Oryzias latipes: one gene and its partners. The protein of the gene in region 3 interacts with the protein of the main gene of each other region in a biochemical or structural test. Links are inferred from orthologs where the notes say so. Each region holds a gene or a part of one and is shown on either strand. Other genes may lie near its edges.

Region 1 (3,066 bases), on a different chromosome or scaffold from region 3:
TGTGATGTCATCCCACCCAACTGCATCCAGCTCCGCAACCTCATCCTCAGTGCCTTCCCACGCAACATGAGGCTCCCTGACCCGTTCACCCCCAACCTGAAGGTAAGAGAGCCCCGACTGTGCCTGTCATTCAGAACCATCACTCCGATCTTACAGACCCATTCCGTCAACATGTCCTTGTGGCACTTTTCTCCTGATTGACGACGTGTACAAAGAAAATGAAGATTATAATTGCATTTATGAAGTTATGTTCACACCGCCCCCGGCAACACGTGTTCATTTTGAATGAAAAGTCTGGGTAAACCAGCGGTTTGGTCTTCCGTGTTCAAAACTCTCGCTTAGCTAACCAAGTTTCTACCACGGTTGTACGTATAAAATACGTGACCATTGAACGCACATTGCAAGTTAAACCAGTTGAACTTGGACCAATCAGGGACTCAGATTTGGTAGTAACGTAAGGATGGGGTCCTTTTTAATTCACAGAAGTGCCAACGGTATGAAAATTGATCATGGAAGAGAAATAGATAATTGGGGTTTGTGCCCGACCGGAATTTTATGACACAGAGTCGGAAAACCGATTCCACATTTCACACCAAGCCTGTTCCAACTGTAGGTGTCGGAGATACGGAAACATGAGTAAGAAGCCCCTCCCTGCTTGTCCAGTGTGAACACCATGGGCTAAAATGTGCATTGCAAATGTGCAGAAAGTACCATCTAGACGAGCGTCACATGGATCCGTAACTGAAGTGTTTCTTTATTTAAATTATTGTGAATCCCAATCAGACAAAAAAAGTCCCATGTGCGGGGCACAAGCTGTCTGCCCCACTCTGCTTCACAACAGCGAGGAAGTGAATTTCTAATTAACTACTGCTGCTCTACAGAAACTAAGTCCTAGAAAACAACAGTTTTTTTGATGTGGGCTAAATACTGCATAAGTATAATTAAAAAAAACACTGGGAATGCTTTGAAAATAGATCAAAAGACGATGGGATTGGCACTTCAACCTGTCTGACATGACGCCCATCCCCCCACAGGTGGACATGCTGAGTGAGATCAACATTGCTCCCCGAATCCTCACCAACTTCACGGGCGTGATGCCCTCTCAGTTTAAGAAGGATCTGGACTCGTACCTGAAGACGCGCTCTCCGGTTACCTTCCTCTCTGAGCTGCGCAGCAACCTGCAGGTAGAACCAGAACCAGAACCTTCTGCTACAAAAACTGTTTTCACAGCGGCTGAGGTTTCTGTGAACTCTGCCTGGCAGGTGTCAAACGAACCAGGAAACCGCTACAACATTCAGCTGATCAACGCCTTGGTGTTGTACGTGGGCACACAGGCCATCGCTCATATTCACAACAAGGGCAGCACCCCCTCAATGAGCACCATCACCCACTCTGCACACATGGACATCTTCCAGAACCTGGCTGTGGACCTGGACACTGAGGGTTTGTTTGGGTCTGGCTGACTTTTGGAGCATTCTCGTTGCCTCTCTCCTCACATCTCTGCTTTTGTGATTTTTCAGGGCGATACTTGTTTTTGAACGCCATCGCCAATCAGCTGCGCTACCCCAACAGCCACACCCATTATTTCAGCTGCACCATGCTGTACCTGTTCGCTGAGGCCAATACTGAGGCCATCCAGGAGCAGATCACCAGGTGGGGAGGTCCCGTCCTGTCCCGTCCTGATGTGTGAACACCGGATGTCCTGTTAATCGTAGGCTCTCTGGTTCTCAGGGTTCTGTTGGAGAGGCTGATCGTGAACAGGCCTCATCCGTGGGGGCTCCTTATCACCTTCATCGAGCTCATCAAGAACCCTGCCTTTAAGTTCTGGAGTCACGACTTTGTGCACTGTGCCCCCGAGATCGAGAAGTAAGTTCACCACCCCAGGTTCAGGTCCGGTTTGTGGGCGCTTGCGTTCACCTGTCCGTCTGCGTTCACCTGTCCGTCTGCGTTTACCTGTCCGTCTGCGCTAACCTGTCCGTCTGCGTTCACCTGTCTGTCTGCGTTCACCTGTCTGTCTGCGTTCACCTGTCCGTCTGCGTTTACCTGTCCGTCTGCGCTAACCTGTCCGTCTGCGTTCACCTGTCCGTCTGCGTTCACCTGTCCGTCTGCGATTACCTGTCCGTCTGCGCTAACCTGTCCGTCTGCGTTCACCTGTCCGTCTGCGTTCACCTGTTCGTCTGCGTTCACCTGTCCGTCTGCGTTTACCTGTCCGTCTGCGTTTACCTGTCCGTCTGCGTTTACCTGTCCGTCTGCGTTTACCTGTCCGTCTGCGTTCACCTGTCCGTCTGCGTTCACCTGTCCGTCTGCGTTCACTTGTCCGTCTGCGTTTACCTGTCCGTCTGCGTTCACCTGTCCGTCTACGTTTACCTGTCCGTCTGCGTTCACCTGTCCGTCTGCGAATACCTGTCCGTCTGCGTTCACCTGTCCGTCTGCGAATACCTGTCCGTCTGCGTTAACCTGTCCGTCTGCCCCCAGGCTGTTCCAGTCCGTCGCCCAGTGCTGCATGGGGCAGAAACAGGCCCAGCAGGTAATGGAGGGCACCAGTGCCAGCTAGCCTGCGCAGCCACCAGCTAGCCTGCGCAGCCACCAGCTCAAAGCACCCGGGAGAGAAATTCGTGGCCTTGACCCGCCCCGCCCCCCCAGCACACGGACCCCCCCCACTTCACCGTTGGCACTGGACAAAACCGGCTCCTGCAGTCGTGAAATGTGAATGGAAGGACTGCTGCTCACGGATTTAAAGAGATTTTTTTTTCTTCTTTTTTTTAAGCTTTTCCCGTTAAGCTTGAGTTGAGAGGACAGATGTGAGCTTATTTTGACCATTGATGTAAATATTGAAGAAGAAAAGGGAGAGCAGGGAAGTGGATGGATGGATTTGGCTGCACATGTCAAATGTGTCCTGGTCTGTACAGAACATTTACTACCAAAGTCCTCAGTTCCTTCCCTCCAACACAAGTCTTTTTTTTTTTCTTGTTTTGTTTTTTTGAGAGGTGAACGGTAGTTACCAAAAAAAGAAAAGAAAAAAAACAACTGTCTGATATAATTTTTTCTTTGGTTCCTGATATTTTC
Region 2 (3,519 bases), on a different chromosome or scaffold from region 3:
TCAAAAGTCATGTTTGTGTCCCACCAAACTGGTTTGATGAAAATCCACTCATAAACACGATTGGAGCATGTGTGGTCGAGATGATGTGGTGCACTTTAAGCTCCAACACTCGAAGATGTGAATGCGGAACAATATGGAGCAAAAGTTACTGCTATACGTTTTAAAAAGAATAATTAAAACTTTCAAAATGAGATTAAAAAAAATTTTTTCTCAAAATATTCTGCAGCCGGATTTGAAATGCACAAAGCTCAAAATCTTTGTTTTATCGGAGATTTCTGAAACAAATCCCAAAACTCTGGAGCTTTAAGAAAAGTCCTGTTAGTCAGTTTTTGCTTGTGCATCCAGTCCAGTTCTGTCTGTGAGGCTTTGTGGGAGTGGGAGTGCTTGTAGGATTTGTGTAGCTGATTCTCACAGTGCACTGATTGGTAATGACCCTTTAATCCCTTGACGCCTATTGATGCAAATATGGATCAAGATACTGATAATAAGGATACTTCGGCTCCAAATCTACTTTAATCGAGCATTTGCATGAAAGCAAAATTATTTTTTATTTTTTCCATAGCAGGACATTAATTCAGGCATCAAGGGGTTTATTTATTTTATGTAGTCTTAAGTTATGGAAATCTTTAAAATTTTAAATTAACAACAAAAAAAACAAGAAGAGTTTTTGAGGTTAAAACGCTCAAGTTTTTGTTGACAGTAAATGTTTTTCTTTGCTGGACGAGGTAGATTCTCATTTGAAGCTTAACGGAGTCCAAAGGCTTTTTAAATATTGAACCATTTTCTGTCTTTATTCCTCAGAGCTTTTACTGATCAGCTAAGGAAGATCTCTCGCGATGCTGGGATGCCCATCCAAGGTCAGCCATGCTTCTGCAAGTACGCCCAGGGAGCAGACAGCGTGGAGCCCATGTTCAGACACCTCAAGTACACTTACCAGGGACTTCAGCTGGTGGTGGTCATCCTCCCTGGAAAGACACCCGTCTATGGTAAGTTAAAGTCCCGCTTATCTGTTCCCTGCATTTGATCCATCCCCTGGGGGAGCAGTGAGCCCCAGACAGAACCATTTGTTGGTTAAACCCCCCAATCCAACTCTTTTAATGCTGAATGTGGTGCAGGGAGGCATTGGGTCCCATCTTTTAGAGGAGAATTGAACTCACGACCCTCCAGTCTCAGAGCGAACTCTCTTCACTCCCACTGAGTTGGACATGGATGCAATTTTCTTACATCCGGTTTTGTGTAAGATTATAACGATGCATAATTGGTCAAAGGTAGATTTGTATTTTAAAAAGATCAGGTTTTTTTTATTAATGTAACTGTTCAGTTCAACATGAAAGAGAAGATTTGTGGTTAAAAGTAATGTTATGGATTTAAAGTGGTAGAATTCCCCATGGAAAAATATATATTTTTTAACTTACTGGAATTAACAAGCTAAAATGAGTTAATATTAGTTTAAATGGACTATGATGTAAAAAGAAAAGGTGGAGCCCCTCATGGTGTGTGTCTTTCTAAAGGGATCATTAAACAGGTGTACACTAATTATGATGCAAAAAAAAAGTATTCCTTACATCTTTCTGACGTTGTGTATTTCCTAGCTGAGGTGAAGCGTGTCGGGGATACAGTACTTGGAATGGCGACTCAGTGTGTGCAGGTCAAAAATGTGCAGAAGACCACACCCCAGACTCTCTCCAACCTCTGCTTGAAGATCAATGTCAAGCTGGGTGGAGTCAACAACATCCTCCTCCCTCAGGGCAGGTAAAGTGACGACTCATTTTAACTCGTTCCTCAGTAAAATGTGTATTTTGCCTTTTGTTCTTACTCTTTTGAGGCTTAAAAATACTCCATGCTGTGTTTTAATGTTTGGAGCTTTTGCCTCCTCCGTTTCCAGGCCCATGGTTTTCCAGCAGCCTGTGATTTTCCTGGGTTCAGATGTGACTCATCCCCCTGCTGGAGATGGAAAGAAACCTTCCATTGCTGCTGTGGGTGACATTCAAATTCATCTTTTACTAATTTACTAGATCATGTAAATGTCACTGCTATTATTAGTTTTTCCCTTTCATAATTATGTCCAAAATGACTGTTGCTCCAAGGTGACCAGTAGTTTGCTCCTGCTTGACCAACTATAATTGTACAGCAGCTTTGAAAGCGTATTTATTGAAGTTGTTGTCTGTAGTTCCATGAATAATCTACAGTACACTGCTTAAATTGACGTTTAAAGCTTATTTTCCTGCTCTGTAGGTGGTTGGTAGCATGGATGCTCATCCCAGTCGATACTGTGCCACAGTGCGAGTGCAGCAGCACCGCCAAGATATCATCCAAGACCTGGCCAACATGGTGAGGGAGCTGCTGATCCAGTTCTACAAGTCCACACGCTTCAAGCCCACTCGGATCATTTACTATCGAGATGGCATCTCTGAGGGCCAGTTCAACCAGGTAATGCTTGTAAAGGATTGACCATAAAACTTTGAATTTTGTGTCTTAGGGCTGGGCGATAAATTGATTTTATTGATTTTTTCAAATTTGTTGTTATGGACGATTTATTTTTGGGAAAATCCAGATTTTCTTTTCCCAAAAATCCTCTGGCAGCCGTGTCTCAAATGAAGACCAGTACAAGTAATAATTACAACGCAGTATTCTTTATTAACAAATAACAGTAACAACTAACTATCTAACTAATGAACTAACTGTATAGGCGTGCCTCGCTAAAGTGAGTGAGAGCCTTTGACTGCGATGGGCTTTAGGCAAATGTTGCAGCGTGGGGGGGCACAGATGTTGCTGCCACACGTCTGTGGCAGCAAACTAACCAGTTCCAAGCAACAGATGATTTTATTCCTTTCTTGGGAACAAACGTTCCACTCTCACCGCTAGCCATGTTGTCGCTTGCTGTTTTCTGGTGGTATGATGTTGTTTGTCGCTGGCCATACCGCTGTGTGAAACTAACGCTACGGAAGCTCTGGGGAGCCAAAAATGCGCCATTACACAAAACTCAATTTAGTTATTTTTGAAATCGCCCGTAACAAAAAATTTGAAGTAATTCATTCAATCAATTTTTTCTACCCAGGCCTAACTTAAAGCAAATTTTGCTTTTATTTAATGAAACGGAAGACAAATGTAACCTCCATTTCTGGGATGAATAGTAAATAAATGAACACACTCTTGGAATCAAAGTCCCAGCTGTATTTTCAGTCACACTTTGTAGTCTAGACTAAAAGTAGACAAACATTCACCTTGAGAGTAGCAGCATTTTCTAAAGGATTAACAATACAGCTCATATCTGGGGTCTAAGGTTTTAATTAAATTAACAAACCCCAACTTCTCCCCGGTATACATGGGTACCATGTCTTTGGCTGTATGCAAAGCAACCGCTTTGGTGATTGTTCTCCACCGTGCCCCTTTCCTAGGGATGGGTACCGAGCCCCGGTATTAAACGAGCCCCGGGGCAAAATTCTTCAAGATCTGACGTCAACGGTTCTGCTTAGTAAATCTGTCCTTTAAATTTGAGTTTACAGTTAGATGACATTA
Region 3 (4,193 bases):
CAGGAACATGTGTGCAGAATATGGACTGGAAACCCCAAGGTCAAAATGGGAAACACCTCTGAAGGTGGTAGAGAATGAGAGGGCAAAGATCCTGTGGGACTTCCAGATCCAGACTGATAAGGATGGTAATGGCGAACCAACCAGACATTGTAGTGGTGGATAAAGAACAGAGGAAAGCCATTGTGGTGGATGTGGCAGTGCCAAGCGATGGGAACATCAGGAAGAAGGAACATGAGAAACTGAAGAAATACCAGGGACTCAGAAGAACTGGAGAAAGCATGGAAAGTGAAGGTGACAGTGGTGCCTGTGGTAATTGGAACACTCAGGGCAGTAACCCCCAAGCTGGAGGAGTGGCTGCAACAGATCCCTGAAAAGACCTCAAACCTCTCAGTCCAGAAAAGCGCAGTGCTAGGAACAGCCAAGATACTGCACAGGACCTTCAAGCTCCCAGGCCTCTGGAAGAGGACCCGAGCTTGGAGGAGAAACCACCTGCGGAAGGGTTAGAGGGGCATTTGTTTTTAGTTTTATAGACATATATAAATATATGTATGTATATATATATATAGATAGAGAGAGAGAGAGAGAGAAAGAAAGAGAGAGAGAGAGAGAGAGAGAGAGAGAGAGATAGATAGATAGATAGATAGATAGATAGATAGATAGATAGATAGATAGATAGATAGATAGACAATATATATATATATATATATATATATATATATATATATATATATATATATATATATATATATATATATATATATATATATATATATATATATATATATATATATGTATATGTATATGTATAATTTATTTATTACTATTATTTATTAGTATTTTATTAGTATTTGTATTTATAAGTATTTTTACCTTGTCAATAGTTTTCTAGTTTTGTCCATTTTCAGTTGATTTTACAAATTTATTAAAGGAAAGTTCCTTGTCTTGTTCATCCACAAGTTAAAGTATTTTGCTTTAAATGTGTAATTTCATACACAAAATGTGCATTTATTTGTCACAATTGTCGTACTTGCCATCAAACTTTAACTATGTAGAAATACCAAAGTATGTTTTAGATGGGGAGTGACACACTTTCAAAATTCTATAATTTGAGACAAATTTAAAACGGACAGCATTTCCTATGTGTTTCAAATCTTACATCAAATTTTTTTCTTAAATTTTAATAAATTTATAAATCGTCAAACAATATACTTTTGTTTATGTTTGTCTGATGAAAGCAGAATTTAATGCGACTGAATAGCTTTTCTATAATATATTGTTTTTCTTGTTTGTTTGTTTTTACAGCGTTTTGTCTTCTCAGTCAGAGGAAGTGGTTATGCGTTTCCGCCCCCGCCTCCTTCCCCCCTCTTAGAATCACACACGTACACAGCCTGAGCCAGTGTAAACCTTATTAATGTCTACGGAGTGAACGCAGAGAGGAGGGGAGCGTAGAGCACAAACGAAAGCGGCGAGCCAAGAAAATGGCGATCGTGCAGAGGATGAATGCCCCCACTCGTAGATGCTGCAAACGCATTGCATTTCTTTAGCCTTACTTAGTTTATTTTCCACTCTCTGTTGCACTTTATATTTCAATGAGGTAAGTTTTGTTTTAATTTTTATTTATTTTTTATTTATGTTCTTGTGTTAAGCTATGCAGGCAAGGAGCTGGAGGAAAGACCAGAGGTCGGTAGATAAGTTGACCAGCCGCTGTTGTTTAGTTAGCTATGACGGAGCTAATATTGTTAAGTACTACTATGCTATCCTTTCCTATCCTATCAGGTTGCGTTTAGAAAGGCGGTTTGGTTTTATAGTTTTGCTAAAGATGCAACTCTCGTTTGTTTTTTCCTAAACGCAAATGAAAAATAAAGCCATTTTAAATGTGTTAACAAGGCGGTTTAACCTTGTCCTTTCGCTTAACTATTCTAGATTGGTCGCTGTATGTTTGTAGCTAGGAAAATGCGTATTTTGTTAACTAATTGTCTTAAATGTATTTTTTTTTTACTTTGTCTAGACTATCATTGTTCTCTGTAAACAACTTACCAATATCGCTAAATTAGAGGAAAAATACCTCGTAGTTGCTATTAGCATTAGCTTAGCAACATGCTAATTTGACGACGCAGGTTCGTCGGTGGGAACAGGTAATACTGTGCACAAATTGCATTAAGAACACTGTTTTACTACTATCACTTCGCATATAAATTAAAAATGTCATGAATTAATTTCAAATCTATATTGAAATTAACCTGCGGAGTTGTTAGATAAAAGCCCCCTATGGTATAAAGCGGTACGACAGCAATACCCCTAAACCCCTAATCTGGTCTGGGTTTTTTTGTAGTCAAATCCACATTACTTTTCGTCCTGATCTTACAACACCGAGGTGGACATCAGAGTTTAGATGAATATGCATCGGTGGTAAATTTACTTATCACTCGAGGTTCTTAGATTTGATTGCAAACCTACAGCTGGAGAGAGAAGCCATGTTGGTTAAGCTGCAAGTCGGGCAACAGCTGAGATAATGGCCGTTCAGGACCCGACTTGTAACTTTGACCTACACAGACTCTCACTGTCCCCTGCTGTCACTTTACACGCACTTGGTTTCCCTTCACTTTGACGAGCTGTAAGAAACCTCTGTACCACGTTAAGGCAGTGTAAACGTGCATTTCACCACAGTTCACTTTGAGTGTATGTACTGAACTTGCATAATACTTCATGCTAGTGTCTATGCGTGCAGGATAATTTGGATGTTTGCCCTGAATGTGATTTTAGGAATGTTTCAAAGTTTGCAGGTCATATTACAAGTTAATGCCTCTGGGAACTTGTACTATGGTGTTCACTAGAATCATTTTCTTGCACAATCGGGTACTTTCTGCAGGAAAATGTTCTGGTTACACTTAACTTTATTCATTTATCTTTGGGAATAAACTATTTCCTTTCTCTTTTTGCTAAAGAGATTTGGAATTGGAAACTGTTGCCACCAAAGAAACTAAAGCGTCTTAACGGGTGAGTGAAACTCTTTTAAACCCAGGAAACTGTTGGTGATGCTGAAATGGTTTAATGCAGTTAATGATGATTGGTGACATATATAAACAAATTTATGTTCAAAACTGCATTTCTGACTTTTTCTTGACTAATGGTTAATCAGGAGCAGAGGGGGAAAATGCAGTTTGAAATGGATTGTATTTGTGATGTAGAAAAAACGTTGGCAAGCCATTCTTATGCAACCACTTGTAGACGACCAGATCCATGTCTGTCTTTGTTTTCCTCGTCTGAGCTGGCATCTGGGTCAACTGTACAGCTGGATAGCTTCAAATTTTGCTCGCCATTTTTGTTGCACCGCTAATGTTAGGTTGGGGTTGTAAGGGGCTGTAAACTTGTGGGAAAGCATGTAAACAGATGTATGATGGGAAGTGGGGGCGGACTTACTCCACACAAACAGTCCTGTCCACAACTCGGAGGTGAATTTCTAATGAACTGCTGCTGCTCTCACTGGTGTTTGATTTTGGCTAAAAATCATAATTAAATCATTATCATAATTAAAACATCACTGGATGCTTTTAAAATAGATCCAAAGATGATTTGAGTGGGTCTTTCTTTGGGGTGTTTTGTCACAAATGTTTAATAGGTTTAACCATACCCCATCTGATTTGTTGAATTATCAGTGTAAACCAAAGTGAAAGCAATACATTTTCTGAATCCCAGTATATGATGTCATGGCTGTCTGAGTGATGTTCTGTCAGCGTTGTGAGTTTGGGAAGCCGCTGGGAGGGGCGGGGGCTTGGGATGAGCTGCGCCTGCTTATGCTAGCACATGCAGTTCCGTTTGAATTGAATTGGGGGGTCTGGGTTGGTCAGGTCACATTGTGCTGAATTGTAGCCTTTCCCCCCATTTCTAAATGAGAAGCCAGCGTCCTGATGTGTTGTGCACAGGGAGGTGTTTGTACTGCTCATTGTGTTTAGACAATCATTGCACATGTAAGCACACAATAGGACTATGTCTCATGACTACTTTGTATACTCAAACGGTTCAGTTATGACCACTATTGCTGGTTTCAGTAACCAGTTATTTAGTGTTAGATCTGCTTGGTCAATTCTCTTATCTGGAGTAGGAAAATTACCCGAATTTTTATTTTGTGAAGAAAACAATCCTGTTAAGTCAACTCATGGTGTTTACCAATATACTCTATTATGGTGGTTTGC

What was found.
Region 1: the proteins of tnrc6a (region 3) and cnot1 form a complex in vitro, tested with the Homo sapiens proteins (2 studies listed by BioGRID). The link is inferred for Oryzias latipes from reciprocal best matches to the Homo sapiens genes TNRC6A and CNOT1.
Region 2: the proteins of tnrc6a (region 3) and protein argonaute-2 form a complex in vitro, tested with the Homo sapiens proteins (2 studies listed by BioGRID). The link is inferred for Oryzias latipes from reciprocal best matches to the Homo sapiens genes TNRC6A and AGO2.

What each region holds. Positions count from the first base shown.
Region 1 is NC_019864.2:25,876,127-25,879,192, reverse strand, and holds the end of cnot1 (CCR4-NOT transcription complex subunit 1), read left to right. Parts: coding exon 1-102; intron 103-1,034; coding exon 1,035-1,184; intron 1,185-1,262; coding exon 1,263-1,443; intron 1,444-1,520; coding exon 1,521-1,653; intron 1,654-1,731; coding exon 1,732-1,866; intron 1,867-2,475; coding exon 2,476-2,554; downstream 2,555-3,066.
Region 2 is NC_019869.2:10,709,206-10,712,724, forward strand, and holds part of protein argonaute-2, read left to right. Parts: intron 1-801; coding exon 802-986; intron 987-1,592; coding exon 1,593-1,752; intron 1,753-1,885; coding exon 1,886-1,976; intron 1,977-2,235; coding exon 2,236-2,430; intron 2,431-3,519.
Region 3 is NC_019866.2:17,690,825-17,695,017, forward strand, and holds the start of tnrc6a (trinucleotide repeat-containing gene 6A protein), read left to right. Parts: upstream 1-1,385; 5' UTR 1,386-1,594; intron 1,595-2,945; exon of another isoform or gene 2,946-2,997; intron 2,998-4,193.